2 linked regions of the Struthio camelus genome follow. The protein of the gene in region 2 purifies or fractionates together with the protein of the main gene of each other region. This does not show direct contact. Links are inferred from orthologs where the notes say so. Each region holds a gene or a part of one and is shown on either strand. Other genes may lie near its edges.

Region 1 (7,487 bases), on a different chromosome or scaffold from region 2:
AGGCATCATTAATACTGCTTCCTTACCCACTGCTGGCCTTTTAAGCAGTTTTGCAGAAAAACACTATGCCACCCACACCACACTGAACATTCTAAGATTTTTATTATGTATGCTTTTAAAAAGCTTAGTTTACCTGTGTCTCATTGTAAACATTCACTACATTGATAGGTCTGTGGCTGTCACATACAAAAAAAAACGTGTCTTCTTCAGGCTGCAAGATCTCCAATAGGTCAACATTGGCACCACAATTAATAAGAACAAAGTACTTAAACTGCAAAAAAAAAACAAAAACAAAAAACCCACAAAAAAACAAAGTTACTTTTACTCCAACTAGCAGGAAACATGGAAGACTGAAAACACCTTAGAAAACTTCCAAAACACTTGTTATTGTTGAAATCTGTATTTACTTCCTGATATTTGATGCCTCAAAGGAAGAACAAAATTTTGTAAGATTTCGTGCAAATTCACCAAATTCCGGGATGCTGGACATCCAATATTGCTATCTTTCACATCTCAGAACAGATGCAAAATTAATTTGACCCTATGAGAATTACCGCCCATTAGTTTGTGCAGAAAACTTGACAAGTTTGTTATTGGTGCATTTAAACTTGCCCACTGTTTTGAGGTAAAACAATACTAGTATTAGTTTAAGAGCTTACATTTTAAGAATGTAAAGAGAAAAGGGGGGAAGCGCATTTATACATTGCGGTGCATCTCATATAGCCAGTTTTCAGTACTATTTTTACCTGATCTTTATGCTCAAGATAGGCAGTTTCAAGCTCTTGCCACCCAGATACTGGGACTAGCGTATATTGTACATGATCACATTGAAATAAAGCCTGAAAAGAAACAGAGAGCTGTCAGCTAAGGGAGGAAAACATACTCTGCCACAATGCTATACATATTCCACTACGATACTTCACTATCCTATAATTCTATTTAATAGAAATCTTTATCCTTAAGACATCCCAAATGACAATTCTACATGAACTTTGGCAGTAAGACTTACCAGGAGTCAGCCTCATGACTCATGGAGAAAATGCTGTAAGTTATAAAATTAGTTTAAAGGTTCTAAATCCTTCCCTCTTTCCTCAGTTCAAACCTATTAAAAGGATCCGACTGCATCATTCCTTTCACAGGTAGCCTACAACGATAACGAACAAAGACTTACTTGGAGTATTTTACAAGCACATAATGCATCAACATCTGAAGCAACGAGAAGAAGAACACGCTGCAAAAATAACAAAACAACAGTGTTAATATATTAGCGCAGGTGCCAAATCTAGTGCACTGGTAGGTATATCACTTTTAAGTTGTTCCTAAAAGCACTAGCTTCCCTATGTAAGATTTCAAGTCCTATGCAAAGATGCAATCCCAGAGAAATGCTTAGATCACTGTGAGAACAGAAAGGGAGGAATCTGGGGGGAGATCATTATAACCATAAAACATAATTGTTTTTGAAGGGACACTGCAACTAAAATAACTTCACCTGAAGCACTGTAAGTATTGGAACTATATTTACAATTCCATCTCACAGGAAGGTAAGCCTTACTTGTGACACGATGGTGAAATCACATTCAGAACATCAACTGCTTTGAGTAAACACGATTATTTTGACCCATATGAACAGTGTATAATTTTGAAGGGTCAAAGTTTGTCAATGCTACAACGATTTTAAAGCATATTTTAGGTAACATAAGAGATTACATATCTAGAATGGCCTCCATTTTCAACATGGTATCTGGAGCAGTTTTGACTAAGGAAAATCTGTAGCAAAAAACAGAGCAAGACAACTCCTGAAATAATCAGGTGAAAAAACTTTTTTTTTTTGGAGACCTTGCCCACAACTGGAGAATTTGAGGGAAATGCTTACATTTACACAATCCAGAGTACATTTACACAATCCAAGCTCCACTACTGTATAGTTTCATGGGTAGAAATATTAAAAGCCTGTCCAATAAAAGCTTTTTTCCAGACAAAAGCTTTACTGCTTTATTACATAGATCCACTCTGAACACAGTTAAGGAAACTGCGGGCAAAAAACCGCAAGTACCGATCAGCAGCAGCACTGCCGTCACAGAAGACTGCAAGAAAAACCTCCCAGTAGACAGAAGACAAAATTTAACATGTGGGCAAACACGACAAGGATTAAAAGGACAAAAAGAAGTAGCTTTAGGAATAGCTTGGTTAAACCAAAGAGATATTTAAAGAAAAAAAAAGTCAAAAAACTGAAAAGGCGGGTTTTACGTGAAACACCTGGTGAGAGCGAGGCGCGGGCTGCAGCTCTGAGGCAGGTTTCTCCCGCTGTAAAGGCGCCCAGGAGGGACCTTCGTGCAACCGCGGCCGGGCCCCCGCGACGGCCTAGGGGACCCCGGGGACGCGGGCACCAGCGAGGGGAAGGGGGAGACCCTGAGGCGCCGCGGCCGCCCCCGCTGTCCGCGCCGGGGACCCCGCGGGGCCTCCCGCGCTCCGAGAGGGGAGAGGAGGGACGGGAACGCCCGAGGGCCGGCGCCTCCGCCCGCCGCCGGGAGCGCCCGGCCCGGGACGGGACGGGACGGGACGGCCCCCCCGCCTGGCCCGGCCCGACCGGACCCGCGCCTCCCCCGCACCTGGCTGACGATCACGTCGTAAAACTCCCGGCGGCAGTCGGAGAGGAACATGGCGGCGGCGGCGGCAGGAGCAGAGCAGCAGCAGGCCGCCCCCAGTCAAACCAGGCGCCAAAGCACCGCCGCTCCCCATTGGCCTTCCCGCCACGCCCCAGTAGCCAATGGGAACTCTCTCACCCCTCCTTCGCATTAGAGGATCGGATTGGGCTAACTGCTCAACCTATTCAGAGCCTCCGCCAATCGGATTGGGGAAACGGAGCCACCGCCCTTGCGATTGGCCAATCCGCGGAGCGAGAAGCGCCGTACCAGCGTTGACTGCCATTCCGCCATCTTTGGCGAGGGCAAGGCGCTTACATTGCTATTCAGCGACACTGACAAAGACCATTTTAGCACGCCATGACAGTGTTGCCTACGGAAGGGCTGCGCGGCCAAAAAAGCTTCAGCAACGCCGCCCACCGCGGCGCTTGTGAGAATCCCGCCCCCCGCGAGGCGGCTGCCGGCATGGCGTGGGCCTGCCGCGCAGGATGCTGGGAACGGGGCGGGGCGGGGAGCGGGCCGGGCGCCGGGGCCGAGCTGCGCGGCGGCGGCGGAGGGGGCCGGCGGGAGCGGGGCCGGGGCCGGGGCCGGGGCCGGGGCCGGGGCCGGGGGAGGAGGAGGAGGAGAAGGAGGAGCTCGAGCGCCGCCCCTCTGCGCCTCAGCGCCGCCCGGGCCGGCGGGCACGGCCACCATGGTGAGGCCCGGGGCGGCCGCGCCGGGGGGAGGTGCCGAGTCACGGCCGGGCCCGAGCTGCGGCCCGGCGCGGGCGGTGCGGCCTGGCCTGGCCTGGCCTGTGTGCCGGCAGCGCGGCCGTCGCTGGCTGTTGTTGTCCGGAGGGAGGTTCTGCCCCTTTGCCGAGCGGAGCCCAGCTCGTAGCTTAGCGGCGAGGACGCGCTTCTCTGGCTTGGGCGGTTTTGTCTGCAAAGCGGCGTCTTCGATGCCGGTTTTCAGTCGGTCCGATGTTATTCTAAGTGTAATGCGGGGGCGTGCTTCCGTGGTTTTTCCCCGCACAGTCCTTGACGTACAGACCTTTATAAACTTTGTGCGTGTTATGTGAAAGAAGAACGGCGCTTTCCTTAATAGGGAAAGATAGGATTTCTAAACAGTTTTAGATGAAACAGAGTTCCAGAGACTTCAATATGCTTAGTGAATGCGGTAACGCTTTATTTCAGTATACTTCAGAAGCCATGTTAATTCACCGTTGCCCTTATTTGTTTTTTGTTTTTCTTCTTCCTTCCTTAGTTCTCTTTTAATATGTTTGACCATCCAATCCCACGGGTTTTCCAGAACCGCTTCTCAACTCAGTACCGTTGCTTCTCAGTATCCATGCTTGCCGGACCTAATGACAGGTCAGATGTGGAGAAAGGCGGGAAGAGTATGTGCATGTTTTATTTTGACTAATAAACTGTTGAAGGCTATTTGTGAATAATATCAAGTAATACTGCTTTTGGCCAAGACTGTAGAAACATTGAACAGTACGGAGACATGCTGTTCAGTGTGTGGCATGAGCAAGAAGATCACTGTGGGGGCTTATAAGAAGGGAGGAGGAGAGTTTTCCTTTTATTGCATTATTCTCTAATTTAAAAATTTAGTAACGAGTGAGTCCTGATCATTACAGGAAGCCTCCCTTTTTTTTTTTTCCCCTTTCTGAAGTCCCTTATTAAAATCTTATCACTGGTATGAGCCATAGCCAATGCTGTGTTGTTTTGAGTTGGCATCAGTTCAAGGGGACATGTAAGCCCCCAAAAGTACCTTTAGGAAGCATTTCCTTTAGTACTAGGTATTGTAAGATCTTGTCTTATCTAATTTCTAATTAAAATCTAAAATTCCTGTGTTAGCAGGTGTACTTGTTGTGACTGATTCTACTGGAATCTCTAGCTTAGATATTAACTTACGTGAGATTTTAGAGTAAATATTATCCTACAGGAAAGAATGATAAAACTGTAGATTATGTTATCTTTGTGCAGCCATACTTTTCCGAATCTTACTTTAACTCTCTTATTAATTTCTGCAGTAATTATGCCACCGTCTGCTTTGGATCAACTCAGTAAGTGCAAGCATTATTTTGGAATAAGAATTAGAAATACAAACATAGGCATAAGCAAGTATCGGAGTTTTTAAATTATCTCTCAAAATCTGACTTAAATAGAAAGCATGAGACCAAGTTTTTCAAAAGATGTATTTTTGGGGGTATTTTGTTTCTCAGAGTTAAGGGATTTTGTCTGTCTTTAAGTACAGACATCTGAAGTGTCAAGCTACCTGATACATGAATTAATGCTTATTAATTATTAATAACATTCACAGTGTAATGGTTGCAGTTAATCCAGTGAGTTCTTAATACCAACCTACTTGTTATGAACACTTTTATGAAGAAAATTTTATTTTAAAGACAGAATAAATGAAAATCAACTTTGAAATTGGGGAGATAGTTGCATTAATAGTTTAAATGGTGTTTATTGCCCCTTTTAACACCATTTTTTCTTCCTTCTGAGTGTTGTCTTTATTAGAATTTCTTTCAGAAACAAATTAAGTCAGGATTTATTTTTAAAATAGGCAAGGGATGTAAGAATTCTTTTGGAGCTAATTGTTAAGTGCCAAAGGGCATAACAATAATTTTTGGGTTTTTTTGCTAATACTCATTGCCTGGTCATCTCCAAGCTTGGGGAAATGCTGGGGAGGCATTTAAAGCTCTAAGTGTAATGGCAATACAGTACTCGTGTATCTGCTTTCTCTCCTGGATTTGTATTTTGGGGGACTTGGATTAAGGGGAGAGGGAATCTTCTCCTATATGCTATTCTCTTGCTAATGTTCAGTCTCTGAAAGCTTTGTAAATGTGCTAGTGTCTTTATAAATAAAATCCTTTTTCCTTCTCTCTCACCAGGCCGACTTAATATTACTTACCCAATGTTGTTTAAGCTGACCAATAAAAATTCAGACCGAATGACGCACTGTGGAGTGCTTGAATTTGTGGCTGATGAGGGCATATGTTACCTTCCACACTGGGTGAGTTGTCTCTTGCTGAACTGTCAGAACCTGATGGGGAGGATTAATGAGTTGCCAGTTAAATATTAAAGAGGCACAATGTTTGCTGAAATTGCATATCTTTGCTAGACCTGTTTCTACAGCTGCTTTCAGGTAAAGCTCAGGTTTCCCTTTGTATGACTTTAACTAAGTATGCAAAGCAGACTGCTTTTTAAGATGTACCTGACTGTTGTCTTCCTGAAATTAAAACACAAGTAAACTGGTGGATTTCAGGTAAGATGGTGGCCCAAATGTATATAGGTATATTCAAGTGAAAAAAAATAAAAAAAAAAAAACCTGTTGATATTGATTTGCATCTTTGTCTTCATTCTTCCAGATGATGCAGAACTTGCTGCTGGAGGAAGGAGGCCTGGTACAAGTGGAGAGTGTTAATCTTCAAGTTGCTACTTATTCAAAATTTCAGCCACAGAGTCCAGATTTTCTTGATATCACCAATCCCAAAGCTGTGTATCCTTCTTATTCAGCTATGGAGCAGGGAACAAAAGATTTCTCCCAAACTGGGATGATGAAGCAGGGTCAGCTTTTCAGGTGTTGTTCATACTTTTCCAGAAGGAGGTAACTACTATTGCTCCTTCTGAAGACGAAAAGGAGGGAGGGCTTATGTACAGAGAAGTTGCAAGCTGCTAGCACAAAGCGTAGTCTAGAGTGAGAAAGCATGCATCTTGGCTTAAAGTGCAGTAAGTTTGAGTGTCCTTTGGAATATCTACAGAGGATGTTGTATTCCTTAATATTTACTAAAAGGCTGTCCATGGTACTGATGACTTTTAAACCATCTTTGAGAGATCAAGGACCACAGTTCTATATCTTAGTAACTTTAAAGCTTTGATGTTGCATTGAATACAAATGTGTTTCGTCTTAACATACTCCAAAGATTAGAAAATGCGTTGAGAAACTTTGCTTGTCTAACTACTGGGGATGTTATTGCCATCAACTATAATGAAAAGGTACAGTATACATTATGTATACAGGTTTAATCTGGATGCCATGAATCTGAGGAAAGAAATTTTGCTCCGTGTTTTTAAAAAAAAAAAAAAAACCTACATTTCAGTGTATCACGACAACTTACGTACTTTGACTACACCTTGTGAATAGATTTGATAGATGGGGATTAGTGGATGAAGCTTTTGGCAGCCCATGTTCACGTTTGATCCTTTCGAGTTGTGGACTAAGCACAATTGTTGGATGTTGCTGCAAAAACAATCAACATGGAGCTGTGCAATATTGTTGACATGTAAATCCCAGATGGTAGATTTCGCAATCAGTTTTCTATTGAAAAATAGGGTCAATTAAATCCTCCTCTGAGCTTCTATTTAGACTGGTCTTTGAGTCAACAGAGAAAACATAATTTGATGCTGTTGAAGTTCTTACAAATCGTGGGACAGAAATTATCCTGAATCCATAATTTGCTTTCAGAAATGCAGGTTGACAATAAGAGGTAGGTTTCTTAGCTCCAGGATATAGCAGTCTTATGTCTAGGTTAATTCCTTTGTTCTCGTATTTTATAAATACCCTGCAGTATCCAGTCCTCAACGTAAAGAGCATGTATTTCAATTTACTTCGAACTTTCTGAAGGGAAGGTTTAGCTATGCTTTTCTCATACCGAAATTGTGCTCCTTCGTCTATAATCTTAAAATAATCATTACTGTTTCAGATCTATGAGCTCCGAGTAATGGAGACCAAACCTGATAAGGCTGTGTCCATCATAGAATGTGATATGAATGTAAGTTAAGGCCGTTGTGGAAAGTCTGTTTTTACTGAGCCCCCCTAAAAGGAGAAGGTTGCATGTTGATAGCACTGAATACC
Region 2 (7,182 bases):
AATTTAAGACTACTGGTAAAAGGTCTTGATGATAAGAAGTTAAAAAAGGTTTATGTCACCGGTACTGTAACATCTTTGTGTCCTGTGAGCTGGTCACATTCACTTTATAGCACTGCGAAGTTGATAAACTAATTTACAGAACAACGTTTCCTACAACTATAACATATAGGGACTTTGAAGAGCTACTAAAGAGCAAGACCACTTAGACAGAATAAATTAATACTTCAAATATTTTATAAATAGCAACAATGAACATCATTATTATCCCAAAAAAATGTTTATCATTATTATCCCCAAAAATATTTTTTTTTTCCCAGTGTTTCTACTGCCACTCAATTTGAACTGATGCCATTAGTCAGCATGATCTGCTTCCATCTTGTGATGTTACAGCCTTATAATTGCAAGGAGGTAAAGAGAAATCTTGATGTCATCTAACTATTGCTGACAAGCAGGATAAGGGAAAAATCTGAAGCATAACACATCACTTTCAAGATTACAGAATTACCAAACTAAAATAGACTCCTATCAACACTCCTCTCCTCAACCCCTTCTTTCTCAAGAGGACACCCATTATCATCATCCCTGCCTGACTTCACATGCACTGATGTTAAATCATTGAGTGCTAGGATTTGTACTTTCTCTGTAAATAAAACTGCTATCTCTATATAGCAGAACTATAGACCTCTGTGGACACAATGCCTGCTGTAGTAATGTGGACACAAGTGATGCTGAAACATTGAAACACAGTAAGCAAGCGCAGAAATAGAATTTAACTTAGTTGGGAAACCATTTGGGATTTTCTGCCAAAAATATATACCTCTGCTCTAGGTTTCTTTTCTTTTTTCAGTTGCTTAATGGATTCAGTCCTTCTTTCTTTCTCCTTTTTTCTCCTTGGTTTTCCTATAGATTTTTTGGCTGTCTCTTCTTCAAAATCATGTTTATGTTTTCTGTATTTTTTCCCAGATTTTAGGGGTCTCTCCTCTCCCAACTCATTCTCAGGAAAGTCCGACTTTTTGCTCGTTTCAAAGTTTTCAACTTGCAATCGGTCACCAGTGTCACTGTCCTCACTATCCAGCAGACCTTGGCGAACTCGATGAGATTTTTTGTTCTTCTGGGCAGTAATGTTCTCCTTTTCCTCTCCATTTTCCATGACTCCACCCAGAGTATCATTCTTTTTAGAAGAGCCACTATCTTCTTCATGTTCACTTTCACTATCCCGAAGCAACCTTTTGCTTTTTGTTTTTTTACTTAGAAAAATCTCTTCCTCTGAATCTGACAAAATATATTAAAAAAGGGATGCATGTTATAGAGAGGTGAACTCCATTAATAAGCAATCACTTAAATACAGCCTACATATAAGCCTACTAAATTTCACAGATTTCAACAATTATAGCAAAATAACTTGAATTCAAAATCCACTTGTTTCCTATCATGCAATACATAATTGACCCAAACTGATGCTATAGGTTTTTAGACTTAAAAAAGCTAAAGACCATTCACAAATAATTAGTAACAGCCCCTAAAATAAAAATAAAAATACAGTAACTAAATAAGTGCATATCATGTTGCCCTTGGTAGATTAAGCAAATCAAAAAAAGAAAGAAAATAAGCAATTAAGATATTCACATCCCATTTATCTTTTTGAACCTCAAGAACTGGTTTTCTGATGTTTTCAGATATCTGTCTGCCCGCATTCTTAGCGGCCAAAAGGGCAGTTTGGATTCATACAGGTGCAACAAAAACACGCAACTTTCAGAAGGTCAAAGATCATGTAGTCTCAACTTTCACTATTGAAGACAATCACCTCCAGGCACGATTTACAGAAATATTACAGACCTCTGTCATCAAGAGATGCTCTCTCCTTGTTGAGGTGACCTGGAGAGCCTGTTTCACAGCTGCCCTGTCCACTGTCAGAATCACTATCAGTGGTTTTCTGCAAGTCTGATTTCAAATCTTCTAAGTGAAACTACAAAGCAAAGTAAAATCATCCTTAATATGGTAAGTGTTGTTTATGTAGTAATGACTCATGCAGTTTAACTTAGTCCAAGACCTTGGCTAACTCTTTACATAGGAATATATGCACACATATTATTAAGAATTAATTCACCTTTACACGGAGGGGAATTATGCAACATCAACCTTTATTGGCTTTTAAATATGTTTAATGTGAGCTTGCACAAGGAAAAAAAAGAACATACTGGAAGATCTCTACTGACATTACTCAAAATTACTAGAATGAAGTAATTGATGAGAAACTTTGAAATTTCATCTCCGAAAGCGGCATTTTACACAGTGCAGGGGGAGGGACCAGACGCTTGTGGGTGCTCTCTAGAAAGCAGCCCTGAGACGAGGCGCGGGGGCCGCGCACGGCGACGCAGGCCGGAGGGAGAAGGGTGCTGGCCCCGCACACGCGGGCCCCGCGACGCTTCGCTCAGGGCCGGCCCCGCTCCGTGCCGGCCCCGGCCGCCCGGGGCCCGCAGCCGCCGGGGCCGGCCCTCACCGGCCGCCCCCGGTGACGGCGGTGCCGCCTAGGCCGCAGCGCCTCTCCCAGCACGCACCGCGCCCGGAACGGGCACCAGCCTTCCCAGCATGCACCGCACCCGCCCCCCGACAGGGCAACCAACTTCCCAGCATGCACCGCCCGCGCTAAGTGGAATGAGCCTCCGCAGGGCACGCTGGGAAGCGTAGTCCGTCCGAGGTACGGGGGAGGCGAGTCCGGCGAAGGCGCGAAGCCGCCGGCGCGCTCCGGTAATCGAGAGGACACTGCCGCCTCACTCGCTGCCCGTCCCCGCCGGCCTCCCCGCCGCGACCAGAGGAGCACCAAGCCCACGGGAAGGCAGCGGGCCGCCGCTGGCCGGCCGCACAGAGCAGCGGAACTCACCTCACCAGGAGCCGCCGCCATAGCTCAGCCCGAGCGCCCACCCCGGCACCCGCGGCCCGGCGCCACACAAACCCTCCGGCCGCCCAGCCGGGTAGGAAACCGCTTCGAGTCTTCGCGCGCTGCCCAAGGCCCGCCCCGCCTCTGGGGCCAACCAATCGGCACTTAGAGCTGCCCTGACAGCCCCGCCCCCTGCGAGCTTTATTGGACGATTTCCCGCGAAGTCCCGCCTCCCCTCGCCTCGCCCAATCGTGGCTCTCCCTTCAAGGCTTTGCACGCCCTATAAGCCCGCCATTGGGCAGCCCCCTCCCCCTGCTGTCAGAACCTTGGAGTGACTCGTTGGCCGCGGGGTGGTTGGAGGGGTGCGCTGCCAGCCGCTCTGGCCGCCGTGGCGGTGCGAGGTGCCCTGACGGTGGCGGCGGGCCGGGCCGTGGGCCCGGAGCGAGAGGGCCTTGCCGGGCCGCGGGGGTGGCGTGGCGAGCCCGCTGCGGGGGCAGAGCCGCGTCGGCGTGGGCCTGCCCCCGCGCGTCCGGCGGCGGTTAGGAGTGGGGGTGTACCGGCCTTCCCGCTGCCGGGCGGGTGAGTACGGATAAGCGCTCGCACCGGAGCGCCGGAGCATCCCGCGAAGTGCAAACAGGAACCTGCTGTCCGCCCATGAAGGCAAACCCGGGAGGGGAAGGGGGAAAAAAGTATATACTCTGAAGTAGTTGTTATCCATCGCAGTGCTGCGGGGGATGCTGAACAGATGGGCTAATCTGCTATGATAGTTCCCATCTAGCCCACACATCCTAGAATGGAGAAGTGAGAAAAGCAAACGCCCCTGAGGCTTACTGCAGGCGTCACAACGCAATGCTGGTTTCTGTGGCGGTATTTAGTAACGGGAGAGGCAGCTGCTGGCACTGCAAAAACATCATTAATGAATATGGTTAAGATACCGTCTCTCAGGTAACCTGCCTAAGTAGATGTAAAAGTAGATGTAAAAGATGTAAAAGAGAAAGGAAATAAAATGAATGTAGATGTTTTCAGCATAAGGGTGGGAGAACTTTCAGAAATAAGGTCCTGACCACTTTGGCTGTCAGGATGCCGCAACTTATACTTATTTATCAGGTTAATTGCTTTTCTGCTTTTTTTTTTTAAGCTTTTCATGCGTTAAATACAGGCTTCTTTTGTCATATTCAGCATCTTACAGGACCAAGCCTTTGTACTGCAGATTCCATGAGGCAGAGATTGTGTATTTGTTTTTTAAGTACTGTTTAAATAGCACTATGCACACATATGTATGCTGAATAATAGCATAGAAATGTTGCTGGCCAGCATGGGTTTTTTTTTTTTTTACAAGTCTTGTAACGCTGGTGTTTCCCTCAAATATTCAGCTAGTGTCAGGCAGTTATGAGACCTGCAGATTTGATTTTCTTTTAAAAGGTTTTTGATGCTTCTACTTGTAGAGAAGGTCTTGAAAAAATAAATGTTGCAGGTTTAAAAAAAAGCAAATAAAATGGACACAGCATTTATTATTTACAGAATGTTTTGACTTCTGACCTACTTGTGAGTCAGCTGAGAATTGTTGACTTAACAGAACTCAATGGTAGCAAGAGAAAAGTGGGATGTGCAAGGAAGCCGTTCACTAAAATAGCAAAGCTTCTTAAAAGGCAAAGCATCAGTAACCCCTGGGCTGAAAAAGCAGAGACAAACTGTGTTAAACTGCAGGTAACAAAATCAAAACTACTGGGTTGCACTGCATGTCTAGGAGCATCTCAGCAAGCAGAGCGCTGGCAGGACCCTTGATTTTAGGTTCCTGCACGCTGTGTCCTCCGCGACCTAAACATCTGAAATCCAGCGTCCGTCAGCCCCTTTCTCTCCCAAGGCGTATCCTCAGCCTTATGAGATCCCTCCTGCGGCTATGCAAGACAGAGGGTCTAGCGGTTGCTTCTGCAGCAAGGGCTCTACTTTAAGGGCCTCTCCCTGGCTGTTAATTAAAACTAATAATAAAATAAAGCCTACCAAAGTTATTGTCTGTGAGCCCACCCCGTTGCCAGTGCTGGTTGAAACCAGCCCGTGGGATCTTCCCTGATGGAAGGGGGAAGAGAGGTTGACCAAAACAAGCCCAAAAATGGGTGTACGGTGTGAGTCCTGAAAGGTGCACCAAGAGTTTAATAACCAAACTAGCTGGCTTAATAACCAAACCAGCTAATTCCCTACCACAGTACTTTTTCAGAAGGTGCCTGAGTGACATCCCATGGTTATTATTGATCTCTGCGTCAGCTGTTAGCTGCTGGGTAGACACCGATCATTAGCCCTGGCAAACAAGCCTATCGCACTTACTACACATTTTTCGCCCACAAAATTTGTTAGTGGAAGTGTTGGCCCTGCTTACAGCCCTGAAGGGCATTAAAATTTGCAGCCGTTCACGGTGACTTTTACACGTTATTTTTTTCAGGTATTTTAACCAGAATTACTGCTGTTTCGCTGGTGTAGGAAGTTATACCGGGTGTAATTAAGTTAGGCGAGTTCCCCGTTTCGGGGGTGGGGGACGGGAAGAGCGGAGGAAGTCGTTACCGCGGGCTGTGGGGTTTAGGCGCTGTATTTTGCAATGGAAGATAAACGCAGAGTTTGAGAGACGCAGTGTCACTATTTCCAAGCTTCGGGTGGTCGGAGGGCTAATTCTTCAACCTGTGAAATTCTGGAAGGAGAGGAGAGAGAGAGGGAAAAAAGGAAGTTCTCTAATAAAAGGACCTGAGTAAATACACCCGTGCAGTCAGTAAAGGAGCTTTACTGCGCAGAGATGCCAAAAAGGGGAGGGGGGGGCTGAGTTCCACCTCCGAGGGCAGAGTGCGGGGGAAAACCTGCTGATTTCTGACAAAATGCCCCCAAATACACGGGGTGGGGGCCGGGGGCGGCGCTGCTGTCATGGCGGGGGCGGCCCCGTCAGGGCGGCGCTGTCATGGCGGGGGCGGCCCCGTCAGGGCGGCGCTGCGAGGGCGCCGCCCCCCCCGCGCGCGGGAAGCGGCCGCCGGCGCCGCCCCTCACCTGTTGCCGCGCCGGCGTCGAAGGGGTGCGGGCGTGCGCGCCCCCGGCGCCAGGGGGCGGAGCGCGTGCGCGCGCGTGCCCGCGGCGCCGGCCAGCGTGGAGGCGCCTCTTCGTCCTCCTTCTCCTCCGGCGGCTCCTGCTCGCTCGCGTGCGCGCGCGCGCGCGCGGGGAAGGGGGGGGTGGCGCGCGGCGGCGGCGGCGGCGCGCGCGGGCTCGGCGGCAGCGCAGCGCAGCGGGGGGATTGTTTGCGCCGCCGCTCGGCCGAGCGCAGCGCGGTAGACCGCTCCCCGCCGCCGCCGCGTCCCGTTCCGCCACCCCCCCCCCTCACCCCGCAGCCAATATTCCCGAGATCAAGCGTTACGCGGCGGCGGCGGGGCCGGCGGCGGGGCCCGGGGCGGTCGTCGGGGCCGGCGGGGACCGCAGCGAGGCCGCCGCCGCCATGGAAGCGCTGGGACCCGGTGAGAGCCGCGGGCGGGCCGGGCCGGGCCGGGCCGAGGGCGGGCGCGGCCTGGCGGGGCGCGGGCGCCGCCGGCCCTGTCAGGCGCGAAGGGCGGCGGGGCCGGGCCGGGCGCAGCGCGGAGGAGGCCGCGGCCCGGCGGGAGCTGCCGCAGCCGGCGCGGCCTGGGCGCGGAGCGGGGCCGCGCTGCAGGCCGGCTCTGACCCGCCGCTCGGCCCGGCCCGGCCCGGCTCCCCCCGCCGGAGAGGAACTTGGCCGCGAAACTTGGCGGGCGGGTCGCAAACAGCAGAAGTTTGGTGTTGGGGCTGCCGGGCGCCTTCCCCTCGCCAGGGCAGATAGGGCATTGCCGTAAGCGCAGCTGCGGGGCTCTAGGCGTGGAAGTGACTTGGAATCGCGATGGCACGGAGGTGTGACAGCACGCGTGGGCTTCCGACCCTGCCCGCCAGCGCGCTTGCGGCAGGTCTTTTCCTAGTGACGAGTTGTAGTGTTTGGCGTGAGTCTGTTTTGTTTTTAAGGGCTTACGGTTGATACTTTCTGGAAGGGTGAGCGCTGATTTTTCAAACAGTCTGCCGTTCAATATTGGCCTTATTACGCATGTGGCGTTTTCCTAATTCTATCTTATTCTGTGGCTCTTCTTCCATAAAATGTCTGCGAGATGTATTTCTTGACCAAAGCGGTCCAGTGTATGTTATCTACCATATCTGTGATCAAACCCTTGGTGTAATCGAAGTAGTGTTAATTTCGGTGCAATAGGAAAGTTTACTGACATGAAGATGCAATTCCAGACAAACGTCAGAAGAAGATTTTAAGGTAGTTAGTG

What was found. Proteins that work in one complex are often made in the same cells at the same time.
Region 1: the proteins of CLSPN (region 2) and CDC45 purify together in Homo sapiens (affinity purification with western blotting; 4 studies listed by BioGRID and IntAct, with this or other methods). This does not show direct contact. The link is inferred for Struthio camelus from reciprocal best matches to the Homo sapiens genes CLSPN and CDC45.

Annotation. Positions count from the first base shown.
Region 1 is NC_090958.1:10,664,102-10,671,588, reverse strand, and holds the start of CDC45 (cell division control protein 45 homolog), read right to left. Parts: upstream 2,768-7,487; 5' UTR 2,661-2,767; coding exon 2,610-2,660; intron 1,232-2,609; coding exon 1,172-1,231; intron 840-1,171; coding exon 747-839; intron 272-746; coding exon 134-271; intron 1-133. Other genes in the region: UFD1 (ubiquitin recognition factor in ER-associated degradation protein 1), read left to right, coding at 2,768-3,072, 3,885-3,991, 4,657-4,689, 5,524-5,645, 6,001-6,131, 6,556-6,628, 7,336-7,404. UniProt on the Homo sapiens protein: Required for initiation of chromosomal DNA replication. Core component of CDC45-MCM-GINS (CMG) helicase, the molecular machine that unwinds template DNA during replication, and around which the replisome is built.
Region 2 is NC_090964.1:10,022,939-10,030,120, forward strand, and holds the start of CLSPN (claspin), read right to left. Parts: upstream 3,025-7,182; 5' UTR 2,903-3,024; coding exon 2,882-2,902; exon of another isoform or gene 2,644-2,881; intron 1,967-2,643; coding exon 1,837-1,966; intron 1,273-1,836; coding exon 818-1,272; intron 1-817. Other genes in the region: AGO4 (protein argonaute-4), read left to right, coding at 6,759-6,855.